2 linked regions of the Drosophila melanogaster genome follow. The protein of the gene in region 1 purifies or fractionates together with the protein of each later gene. This does not show direct contact. Each region holds a gene or a part of one and is shown in the gene's direction. Other genes may lie near its edges.

Region 1 (6,869 bases):
GTTACGATCGCCCCAATAAGTTTTGCATATGCTTTGGGATCACAGTGGAACCCAGGGATGAAGTCCTAGCTTCAAGTTCTGAAGAGATTTTCATCTCTAATGAATATGAATATTCCATTAAGATACTTCTAGCAGGCTTTATTGATGGTCCACAGCTCTATAAATTCATGATTGATTTGATCGAACAAACTAGCCAATAAATACATTTTTATTAGTTCGTTAATCACTTCATTCAGCAAACTATTCGTTTTACTCAATGAAATCGAATCGAGTTCGTTCATTCAAGGCGAGGATCGCGTTAGGAATGCTGCACTGTGGTTACAGGTACGACAAACCGACAAGTTCCACTTTTTGTATGCCGCACAACAAATACATACAGTCAACCCCAGACAGATCACGGTTCTATAAAATATACATATATGTATATAATGTATGGCAGATACTCGCTTTGTGTGGGTCGAAGAAAGAAAGAAAACAGCATCAAGAATGAGTTAAGTAAAGTCGCGCAAATAACTCGATCGTTTCGTCATTTTGAGCAGCTATCAATATTTGATATATGTCCAAATACACAGACATGACTATATCCATATGTAAAATGTACATATGCAAATCGAATCGAAGATCTACACTGGGGAAAAAAGGTATAAGCAAGCTTATTCGGCTATTTCAACTCTTCCGATTAAGCTCTTGAAAATAATATCGTATGCATTATATAAAGCTGTTTAATTGGAGAGAGTAAATCTATCAAATTAAAAATTTTTTTAATATTCAACCGAAAGTATTTTTCTCTCTGCACATATACATATTTTTATTTTTATATCGCCTTGACGTCGAGCATCGTAAAATCCTCCGATTTTGTAAATTTGTTGACTTCAAACCCCGTTTGTGTGTCAACAGTAATATTGTGTTTAAGCCTGTATGTTTCTGTTTTAGTTTCTTGTTTTTTTTTTTGTTTGTTTCGAGAACGCTTGAGTTTCATTAACAGGCGGGGGCGGGTCGCCCGGCGAAGGCGTTCGAAATGATTTGGATTTGACTTTGGCTTTGGCCAAAAACGAAAATTAAAACTCATTTTGACCAAATGCGTTCGAAACTATGCGGCAAAACTGCGAGTGGGCCGCTCCGTCAGTTCAAAGTTGTTCGAAGGCAGCAATTATCCAAATGATCGAACGATGCCAAAGATCGGAGAAGTGGAGAACACAAAATCCGAGTCAAGGGGACGACAACAATATAATTGATCCTTTGATTTAGCATGGAAATGGGGATTTTTTTCTGTAGATTTCCAATCATTAAATTTCCTTAATAGGCAAACGAAACTCAGCCGCAATCATTGCTACTATAAGAGTTATTCACGAGTAAATAAAAAGCCCAGGTTCAATGGTAAATCAGTTAACACCATTTTATCGGTTGAATTGCACAATTGATGGGGTGATCGATCTGTTAAATAGACGCTTCAAAAATAAAACTTTGCAGGCGGCACAATCTATCCAAATTAAAATGAATTCAAGATATAATTAAAACGATTTTAAGCTTTTAAGAAAACAGTGTTGAAATGTGAAGTTAACTCAGGCAACTGGGAATATTTGTGAAAGAAGTAACTTAAAATTATACTTGATGAATCTTTTGATAAATAATATTAATTATCATGTTAATGCACTATCGAGTGGCTCCATCTCTCGGAATTTGTTGTGAACGCCCGTTGAGAAAAGAATTAATTCATGAAGCATACTTTTCAGCTCGCATTTAAACGGGAATGTGGTTTGAAACTCAGCTAAGCTAAGACGGCAACCGGTGAATCTAAATATCAAAAGCTAAAACATAATGTTTAAAAAGTTCTAGTGGAAATGCTAATTAAAAATGCTGAATAATTATTATTGAATAAATAAATTAAAAATATGTTTATGTGAAAATGTCATTAAATAATTTACAAAAACCTCATTTTCTTATTTCAAACAGAAATCGAGAAAAGGCTAAGGTTACAATCAGCAAAGTTAAAGAAAACTGTAAGAGAAAAGTAATCCGTAGTACATTCGACTCTATATTTATGAAACAAATCTGACTAATCTGCAGCGGCTATGGCTTTAAGCAAGACCATCAAATCAAAAGCTGGCGCCAAAGACGAACAAAACGAACTGGTGAGTGCTAGACGGACCCCTTAAAACCACCCACTGCCCCCTAACCCATCGCAGTTACTTACAATACCATTGCTTACAGTTGTGGTCAAAAAAATAGTGGTATCTGCGTACTTTTGACAGAGAATTGAACCATCTTTCTTCAGAATTACTAAGCATGAGAAAAAACGATTTATTCGATCTCTTTCAATCTCTTTAACATTTCTGCGTTAACAAGTTCTACATGTTTCCTTTTTATATAGCTTCTTAATGTCAAAAAATAATAATAATATAATATATAATAATATATATGAAAACATGATAAATTTGTAATATTTAAAAAATATATTTTGAAAACAGAATGAAATCACGTTTAAATGCGTGCAAGACTCATTTTTAATTTGAAAATTTAATAAACTAAGACATTTCTTTCTCACAGCATAAATTAAGACATCTTTTTCGAGATATTCTGTTATTTTGGTAATTTTCATGTCATTAAGTGTTCAAAGTACCACATGGCCCTATTATTTCGACCGCAGCTGTACTCCCCTGTTGGCTCGAAGTGTACTCACATTCGGGCCACGTTAATCGCGTAAGGTGGCTCAGGTAAAGCTCTCGACGAGCGGGCAAAAACAATGAATGGCTGCCAGCGTCGACGTCGGCAGAGGCAAAAATACAACGAACAAAAAATAATAAAGTTTTTCAGCTCAGGTGTAACAAACTAACGGTGCAGTTACCGACGGCCAGCAGTCGCAGACGCGCCATCGAACACGCCGCTCGCGATCGCGCGCTCATTCGGATTTTCCATTTTCCATTTTCCGTTTTCCAGCTGCTCAGCGCAAAGTTTTTCCAGCTTATTCGGTTTTTTTTTTCGGCACGATCGTTTTCCGTTTCGGTTTCAATTTCCATTTCGTTGGCGCTTCATTTAACACAGCCGCTTAAATTGAAAACCCCTCGAATGGAATTGATCTAAATTTAATTGCGATTTGTTTTGTTTGTTGATTGTCGCGTTGCACTTGATTTTTTATTTTGTATTTTTTTTTTTTTTGTATTTATTTGGTTTTATTGTTCGTGCGTTTTTTTTGCGCTAATTGCCTGAATGGCGAAGGCAAAGTGCAAAGTGTGACAGTGCAAGAGATAAAAATAGCCAGCGATCGCGAAAGAGAGAGTGAGAGGTGCAGCGAAGGGTGAGCGGGAGGCAAGTACACACGGAAAAAAAAATGTGCATCCAAGAACTTGTTCTTGGATCGTGATAGCAGGCATTCGAAAGGTATTTGGCTGAATATTTGCATAGATATGCCCAGAAAATGTAAGGTGCATTTCGATATTTGAAAGTTCTCGTGGTCTACACTCAACAAAATACTTGCATTTGCATTTTGTCAGTAAGATGTATGTATAAAGGATAGACCATATCCTCATTGAATCGGTAGTTGTAGTTGGACATGCGCACATTTCACTGGTGCGCTTCGTCACTATGCAGATTTATGTTCCCAGTGATATTGATGCTGTACATGCTTATATCTAAATGTATGCAAATGTTATACGCGCAATTTTGATCTTGATACAACAGTAAGGCAGTGAGAATAGAAAAATATTTATGTAAACGTGGAATTTCAAGACCATAGTAAATAGTGAACACTAGCTTGAGGCGAAAAGCCGCGAACAATTAAGAAAACTGGGCCAACAAATAGATTTAGCTCAACAACTTATCTGCATATGCGTGGAATTTCTCGCGATGAGCATTGTTCGTCGTTCAAAACATATGCACTATACTTACATAAATATGTATATGTATGTTTTTTTGTGCTGTGCAGAATTGTAGAATTGGATATTTATTTTTATGCGACCCATTCCCGTTGCCAGATCTCGTGGCCCAAGTGGCGTATACGTGCAAAAAATTAATCATTAACTCGGGCTTTTTTGCCTTTTTGCTTTTTTTTTTGCACTCACTCTTCGTCGTTCGTTTCGTGTGTTTTGCGCTTCGTTTTGCCGCTCTATTCGTTGTCGTGACATTTGTTGTTGTTGTTGTTGTTGTTCGGCTGCATATTTGGCAAACAACAAACAATTTAGTTTGTACTTCTATTTTGTTGCCATTTTGTTGATCTTTGCGTGTTGCATCACTCAACCCACATGGCCCATCGCTCATACGCAATGTTGGCCCAACGAATTAGTTCTACTATTGGTGCAATATTGCCAGTTTGTCAAACCTAAACCCAATATTCCCCGCACCCCTACCACCACCGGCATCGCCACCACTTGGCAGCGGGCCATGGAAATATTTTCCCACCATTAAGAGGCCCCCAAAGTCCGAGAGATCAGGCAATATAACAACAAGGCCTGAGAAACACTCACATATAGCAACAAATCAAAGCCTGCACACAAAGTGTTGGCCACCACACAGCGAGAAAAGGGATGGCACTCTTGAATATATTTGTTCAATTCATACGCTCTGAGCTTAGTACTTTAGTAAATTATTAAGAGTTATCATATTTTAAAGTTATGTAATCAGTATACTTTCCAATTACATCAATATTTATACCAGAAAATATTATTCATTTAATACTTTTCTTTTGTTAGAAGAAATTCAAAAGCCCAAATGATTTCATATTCATTTAACTAGCAAATCTCATAGCCACAACAATACTTTTAATAGCATTGCCCAAGTTTTTTCCAGTGCATTGAAGCTTCAAAGGGGTTGGAATGAAGTGTGGGCTGCGGGCGGTGGTTTTCACTAACACCCACAACTAATGCAGTTGTTGTTGTTATATCAGTTTGCTATTATTATTATTGTGGCTGTTGTTCTTGTTGTTGTTGTTATTGTTGTTGTCGCCTGTTAGTTGCCAGTTATGTGTGGCTGCCTTTTTGAAAAAAGAGTTTTGTTGCCTGGTTGTTTATTGTTGTTTTTATACGTGCTCAACTTGTTTGTCCGTTGTGGTTGTTGTGGGTGAACTATTTAAGATTTTTTTTACGCTCTTCTAAAGAGGAAAACCTCTTTTTGGCCTGTGTGTTGCGTTTTTTGGACAGCAGCCACAATTCAATGTCTTTGTATGGCCAAAAGGCGTGAATTAAATGCAACTACAACAAATGCCGGTGGGAAAAGGGGACTTTTGGTTGGGCAGTAGGGGCTATTGGGGGATTGGCTGGGACTAGTTGTTTTGGATACCTATTCGTCGTTGGTTGACCAGTGCGTGACTTGTGGGCTCGGCAACAACTTTGTTGTTGCTGCTCAGATCGCACAGCTCAAAGCCTTCACATAAGAAGTTGCTGTCGCAGCACACGAAAAAAAAAATATAAGGAACTGGATTAGCACACGAAAAACAAGTGATTCATATCAAAATTCTTTGATTGCAAACAAAAAAAGGTATCAATATGAACCAAACTTCTTAAGCAATGCTTTTCATTGTCGCTTGGTCACACAGCCTGAGCAGTGTGACCCTGTTATCCAGCCTAGAACGAATTGCTAGACAAGTTTAATGCATTCAAAAAACTATTCATCTGAAAGCTCGATTTTTTCCAGTGCTTTGCTGCTGTTGCTTTTGGGTCAAGTAAAAGGCATTGCGATTGCATTAGGAATTGTCAAAGTTTGCCAATGCTGCGACTCCAAACTCCAGCTCCCCCGAAATCAAGCGAGATTTTTCAATTGGTGACTCATGGTTGGGCGTGACTACCACCACCCCCTACCCCCTCCCCACCCATCGATTTTGGCCCAAGTAAGCCTGTCACAAAAGAGGAGGCATCGGCTTTGGCATCGCCTTAAGCGGCACACAGACAATCCGAAGTCAGAAGCTTCTCTGCCATATTTTTACGTTTTTTTCTTTTTTTTTTTTGTTGCGGTGGCTTCCATTGATTCCCTTTTACAAAGCAACAAATCGATTTGACCGGAAGCAATTACAAAAATGGCCAAATTGCAGTCACAATTAAGTGTGTGTGTGTGTGTGTTAGTTGTGGTGGCCTGACGTCATTGGCAGATCGCTAAAAACTAAAACCGAAAATAGCAAATCAGCCAGTCGACAACCCGGTCAAGATTTATTGTTCGTTTGCCTAATTATCGATTCAAGAATCGTTTTTCCCGCACCAACGAGCTTGTGGATGTATGAACGTGGATATATCGCGTCTGAGGAACATCCGTAGGAAGCAGAATCTCAAGTTGGGCAGATAGTTCACGAAAACGATGGTCAACATAACGTTCGAATTGCTAGAACAGTTAGTATTTCTTGTTAGTATTGGAAAACTACAGTTCAGATTGCTAAAGATTTGTGGCAGATTAAATAAATCTTAGAGCAAACAGAACTAATAGAAAGCCAGTTTGGTGATGTTATAACTGAAAATATGTTATATATGCATACTTAGAAAATTCCAATAAAATGTAAACTACTCAAATAATTTATCGACCTAATTACCGATTCAAGTATTACATGTATTTCGCAAACCCCTTTACCAACTTTCTGTGTAAATCCAGCCAGATATCTTCGTGTATAACCAAATATTCCCTAATACAGCAACTGCAGTCAGAGGGCAACATTTTCACAGGCCACAGGGTCTGGTTTTTTTTTTGTTTTGTTTGTTTTGCCATCGCCGTGGGTCTGGTGCTCTGACCTTTGGCCGCTCTTTGGGTCCAGCTAATTCAAAGTGGGCCCAAAAGTTTGTTTTGCGTCCGAATTTCCACTTTTATTTTCCATTTCATCGCCTTGAACTGTGCACGCTGGCCTTTTGGCTTGCTGCCTGTATTTTCTTTTGCTGGTTAACGAAAAATATACATGT
Region 2 (6,824 bases), on another chromosome or scaffold:
TTGGAGTGTTTTCTATTTATGACGAACCGCCATAAAAATGATGCCAAAAATAAGCGCTTACTCGCTATAGAAGCGTGCGCTAATAGGCCATCATTTAACTGTAAGGCGTGGCAAGTGTTACAATCGCATTTGGCCAACAGGAAGTCGAATATGTAATACCAACAGACAAAACAAACAGCCCACCCCTAGTCTAAAAAGGAAATAGCACTGAATCTACTTATAATAATCTTGGAAAGGATGCCAATGTAGTATTAAACTTTTAAATCGTATTATATTCTTTTGGCAGGGAATCCAAGCAACAATTGGCTTGTGTCCAACTGAGTAGTAAAGTTAAGTCTGCCTGTTACTATTATAATAGAAATCGAATATTGAAAAAAAAAAGGGTTTAAGAAACCTAATTGATGAAATAACTCAATCATCATTTATTTTTCGAGGTTCATCTCTAGAACAGCCTTTCGTAGTAAATTCCGTAACCATCCATCAACATAATTATGGGCTTCACCTCCACTCCAGTTAATCTCATATATTTCAAAGTTAATGACGTTGTCATAGAACATCTAACCAAATATATTCCCACAGCTCGGATCCAAACAGAGTTGTAGCTAGGCAGCCACTACAGAATCATTGAGAAATCAATGGCCATTTGGTACACGGTTTTGGCACAAATCAAACTTGAAATCGCACCCACGTCTAGAACGAGGCGTTGAACCAACCAACCATGTGGGTGGCTGTCCCGATGACGACGACTACGAGATTTGGCTGGCCGTGTGGGTTTGCAAGGCAAAAAGCGAAATAAGTATATACGAATGTATATTCGGACAGCAAACAAATCGAAAAGTGTAAAAAATGCCAGACACCTACGTGCACATCGCATTCTGTGATATAGATACACCGATTTGTAGCCTACGATACGTACACTTTTGCCCATTCAAAGTCGAAAATTTCGGCCATTACGTAATGCCCTAAACTAGGTGTGCTAGCTGGCCCTCTTCTGCCATTTAAAGTCACGACAACACTTTCGATATTTACCTGCTGACCAACTGAGTAAACTAAGAAGCGGATTGGTCATTCCCATTACCATTACCATTCCCATTCCCCTTGGCCAATAGCACCACCAATACCATTATCATGACCATTCCCATGACCTTGCCGCCAGCTGAATCTATAGAACTCGCCGAGTAGTGGGGCTCATTCCACTCCGCTGGCGAGTGCAACTAATTAGGTTCATTGCCAATGTCAAGTGTCAGTAAATGACATCAGCCACGGGATCACTCATAAGTCCGAGGAGCAATTCATTAATTTCCACTTTTTGCTGTCCCCGCTGGTTAATTTATTTCATCCAAGCCACGCAGTTTTGTCACTGAGACAAAAACACAACAATGACATCTCTGCTTAAAATAAATTAAGGTACAAATTAGTTTGCGGCAAAGCGGTGTATTTAAGTAGTTAATTGATGTTTTAAGAGGAATTCCATTGAAGAGTTACTAGATTAGCTACGTCAACTGTCTTTTGTAATATTAGTCAGCATGATTTTCTCGCACTGTATTCTCCTGTCGGGGCGTTAAAAAAGTGCTCAAGCCACAACTCATCGCTGTGCCGAGCAAGTGATGAGTGATGTCATCCCAGAGTTGTTTACCTCTCCGAAAAGTGTTTGTCAATAAATAGTATTCGTATTCGTATTCAAAATCTGCATACCAGCCTCGCTCAGAACTGGACGTGCTATGATATATGCGATCTGTGGCAATTGACTTGTTTAGAAACGCAACCGGATTTCCTATAATTAAGTTGGTTAGACGGTCATTTGACGCCTCGTTGTCTTCGCAACGCCGTGTGGAAAAATGCCAAAAAGGCCATTCAGACGGCCAACTTTCGGTTTGCACAAATTGTTTGGGTAAAAGTGCGACAAGTGAAAACGGGCGAACAATTGACAATTGATCGTGGCAGATTTCATTGCTGTGATTACGTCCATTATCTTCTGGGGTGGCTCCCACGTTTACACACATGTTGGCCTTCTAACGTTTGTGAAAGACTTGCCCAAACAGCCACATTCACGACAACCACTGGCATCCACAGTACTGCCCACCAGATCTGCTCGCTTTTTGCCTGCTGTTGCCGCGGCGAAATTCCAAACTAAGTGATTTCTGTTATTTTACAGACTCTTTTTTTTTGTATTATTTTCGCCTTTTTGTTATTTTTGTATTCAATTTTCCTTTTCGCTCGCTTCGTTTTGGCTTGGAAGCGACGAAACCAGTTTTGCTTTATAGCCAGATTCAGAGATATTCGCACACACACATTCGCTGGCGAAACCCCCCGCATTTTTTTTTATAAATTCTCCTGCTGCTCTCTGGAGCTTTGAGCTTTGGCCATGACGTCATCGTTTGTTTTGGCCAGGCCAAGAGAGCAGAGCCGCCCAGATCGACCAGCTAAGCGCAGTTCCAGTTCGCTTCGGGCCGCGAGCGCGTGCAAACGAAACTAAAACTGATACTGAAACCGAAACTGAATAGCATAGCTACAACTTACAGCGATCAGAAGTATCTCATCGCGATCTATCCATTTCTCCCGATCAGTGTTTCGAACGCGAGTTACATCTGTACATACATATGTGCGAGTCGCAGGTGAAGTGCAGTGACGTGCAGTGAAGATGGACGTCAAGGACATAAAAGGCGCCAAGGTGACGCATGCGGGGCTGCTCAAGCACAACTCCGATGGAACCACCGAAACGCAGAAGATCACCCATGCCGGTCTGGTGGCCCGGAGTCCCGAGGGCACCGCCGCCAAGGGTATGAACATACGGGGCAACGAGGACCTCTGGGTAGAGATCCAGGCGAACACATTCCGCAACTGGGTCAACGAGCATTTGCGTGAAACGGGAATGCAGGTGAGTTAAGCCATAGATATATTGTAGATATATTTACATTCCGATTATGCAACACTTTCTAACCGACTGAGTAATGCCTGCCGCCGACTGAATATCTGATCGATCAAGCGCAAAAAACAATTACCCAATCAATGGGCTAGCTCCGTTGAATGTGGAATTCGTAGAACTATTGATGAAGCAGGGCCTGAGAATCGATGAGTGAAATACAAAACGTTTAGATCTGGAATTTTAGCCAGGAAATGATTTGCGAAGGCAGTTGCACATAGAAAAAGTGGCACTGCTTAATGAAGTGTAATTAGGGATAGAAAACAAAATATGAATATGTGAAATAATGAACACTTTTTAATTGAACTCTATACAAATAAAATTTTCGATTATTATAAATCGCAATTAAGAAGCACTTTAAAAGCAAGGTTTTTGAAGTTCATATACTGATCCCATTTAAGCTAAATATAATCGCATAACGAGCGCATTGACTGGTGACAGAACACGTAAAAGTATAAATCGCCATCATAAACTGGGGCTTCGAGCTCTTCCGCGAGTTTCCCTAAAAGGCCGGGCTCATAAAACTCGGCTCAATCGCCCACGCAGATCTTGAACTCCAATGGCAGCAACGACAATTACATTAACAATGATGCCAAGAGTACTCACACGGACTTATGTGTACTGCCAACAATGCATTTCATTTGTCCAGGGACTTTTGAACTGTCACTCGCTTCGACGGATTTTCTCACACGCACCGCACTGAAACGACCTGAACCGACCATATTTGGCCGGTTGAATGCCAAGGCCAACGCATCGAGTTCCCATTAGCAGTTACAATACACAAAACAAGCTAAAGCTTTTGTGCGCGATCTTGCCCGGTTTCGAGTATAAAATTCGGGGTTTTATTTTTTTTTTTTTACTTTTTCGGTTGGGCCAAAAACGTACATACATACGTGTATGTGTACATATGTGATGAGCAAGGCTGAAGACCCCTTAGTAAACAGCGCTAATTGTGACCTGGCTGGCGTCTATTTGGGTCACCAAACCAAAACGAGTCATCCAAGTTTGCGTTTTTTACGCTGTTTACAATTCTAGTTCATGCGTATGCGACAAATAATATTGCAATCCACTTTGTATGACAAATGCATGTGCAAACAAAAGGGAAATGCTTTGATGGGAGCAGATACACGGAGAGAAATATTCAAAGTGACTGCATTGTATGACCTTAACGTTTTAATGCAGTGCAACAACAGTTGCGGCAGGTAGAATTAAATTATCTCAAAATGATTGCCACCATGGAACTGTCGTAATAGAATGACTAGACATTTTCTGACATATAGCAAAAATTTATATGCAAATAAAAGTACATATATATTTTGTTAGGTGAAAACGCAACTCCCAACGAAACTCGAGTTCATATCGTAAAATCAGAGGAATCTTAAAAATTTAAGGGCGGAATAACAGCAGCGACAAATAACAACCTGCGGCAGCTTGTTAGAGAGCCATGGAGCAACTACATATGTGCGATGTGAGATTTTTATGGCATCCAATGAATATTTTCCTAGGCACAAACAAACAGCAACAGACACGCGATTGTCTCCGTACCCAGTTCTCCAGTTTTTTGTCGTATTTTATTTGTTGAGTTGAGTTGAGTGGAGTGGAGTGGAGTTCCCCCCAGTCGAATCGAATGCCGACAGCAGCCAGATAAAAAGCTTTATGTCAAATGCTTAAAATCGCGCACAATTGGTTGCACCCGGGCGGAGAAAGCCGCTCAGTTCGGAGCAGCGAACCTGTTGGGTTCCCAAGCCCATTCTTGAGCTCCATGTGCCATGTTCCGAGATCTGAGCTCCATGCTCCAAGTTCCGAGCAAGCGGTTTACCTTGCAAAGTGGGCCACCAGTTTGCGGAAGGGGCGTTGATTGCTCATTAGGAAGGCTGCCAGTCAAGCGACCTTCTTGCATTTGCGCAGACATGGTAGGCGTTTCGCACATTTGCTAATCTCCATTGGGAACTATGTACATATGTACTACAGCAAGTCTAGTAATCTCAACTAATGCATAGCTATAAAGAAAATGCTGCTAGAGTCATTAAATAAAGATAAAAAATCTCTTCTTTCGAACATTTTTTTGTTTTGGGTTAGCATGCTTTTTAAAATTAAATCTATATAGAATGGAAAAGTAAAAACTACCCACTTAATAAAAGTACATTTTGCAAATCCATTAGACCGTAAAAAGCTAATATCATATTAAATGCAATTATAATAATAAACCTATTATGGAATGCACTCCCATCTCTTACTTGCCACATTACTTGCGTTGCTAAACGGAATGTATTCCAGCAGTAATCTAATTATTTGCCACAAACTTTCCCATTACTATTTCTAATGATACGGAGAAGTTAATGCAAATTCCCATTGTCTCTCAGGTTCATGACTGGGCCACCGATTTCTGCGATGGCACTTGTCTGTGCGCCCTTGTGGAGAATCTGCAGACGCGTCCACTGAAACCCTCGTGGAATCGCCGACCCGCCAACCAGCATCATTATTTGGAGAACGCCACCACGGCGCTGAAGTCCATCGAGGCGGATCACATCAAGCTGGTGAACATCGGCAACGTGGACATTGTGAATGGGAACATAAAGCTGATCCTGGGCTTGATCTGGTCCCTTATCGTGCGCTACCAGATCGGAAGGAGCAAGTTCCCGCCGCGCAAACTGATGCTGGCCTGGCTGCAGGCCGCTCTGCCGGACTGCAGGATCACCAATCTGACCACCGATTGGAATAGTGGCGTCAATTTGGCGGCGCTCCTGGACTACTGCCAGCCGGGCTTGTTCCCGCACTGGCGAAGTCTCGATCCCAGCCAGAGTGTGCGCAACTGCACCCAGGCCATGGACTTGGCTCAGCGCGAGTTTGGAGTGCCCAAGGTTCTGGAACCGGAGTACCTCGCCTCGCCCTGGTTGGATGAGCTGTCCGGCATGACGTACCTCTCGTACTTCATGAAGCCCGGTGGTCCTGGTTACAATGCCACCATGCGATGGGTGAATACGCAGGTCAAGGACCCTGTGAAGAACTTTACGGTATGTTAATATCCATAATCACATATCAGTTATAAAGCAGCCTTCTTTTTTAATAAATCCTTATGGCTCTACAATAAAACACGCTTTTTCACCGCATTTAAATATGACCTTTTAATCCGTTGAACAAATGTTAATGTACATCTGCAACAATTGCATTAAAAAGAACATAAATACTTATTAATTCTCGTATTTTTCCAACCAATAATAATCGTATCCCATAATGGCACTTTCATTTCGCAGACCGACTGGAACGATGGACGCGTTATGTGCGAAATTATTAAGGGACTGGGTGGCTCGGCGCCCGCACCGGAAAAGCTCAGCACCGATCCCTTCCACTACGAGAACAACATTCGGAAGGCGGTGGACGCGGGCGCCCGGCTGGGCGTGCAGCCCATCCTGACGGCCAAGGACATGGCCAACCCGGAAGTGGAGCACCTGGGCATCATGGCCTACGCGGCCCACCTGCAGTGGGTGCCGCCGAGGCCTCCGCTGTCCGACCTGGTCAGCGTCTACCTGGAGAGCACATCCGGTCGGGTGGGCGAACCGGTGAGTGAAGCATATATATACAATATATATATGAATGTACAGATGGTGGCAAAATAATAGGGCACTCATGACTAGAAAAAAATATATATTATTACTTAACACAAATCCGATCAGTGGTGTTTACTTACAATATAACTGGAAAGATAGCTCCCAATTTTTAAATTAAACAAATATTTTTACTAGTCAGCTCAATTATTTTACCCATCACTGTGGGTGTGTATATGAACACTGCAGTCTGCCAGGTGCAGAGCGTAAATTTTTAATGTCCGATTCACACGCAGACCCACTTCCGCATCGACGTAATGTCCCGGGACATAAGCCTCAGCTCAGTACGCTGCCAC

Evidence for each region.
Region 2: the proteins of chas (region 1) and jbug purify together in Drosophila melanogaster (affinity purification with western blotting, with the first as the bait; one study listed by BioGRID). This does not show direct contact.

Annotation. Positions count from the first base shown.
Region 1 is NC_004354.4:17,690,699-17,697,567, reverse strand, and holds the start of chas (chascon), read left to right. Parts: upstream 1-3,180; 5' UTR 3,181-3,306; intron 3,307-6,869.
Region 2 is NT_033778.4:22,732,659-22,739,482, reverse strand, and holds the start of jbug (jitterbug), read left to right. Parts: upstream 1-2,437; 5' UTR 2,438-2,641; coding exon 2,642-2,878; intron 2,879-5,286; coding exon 5,287-5,937; intron 5,938-6,177; coding exon 6,178-6,483; intron 6,484-6,764; coding exon 6,765-6,824.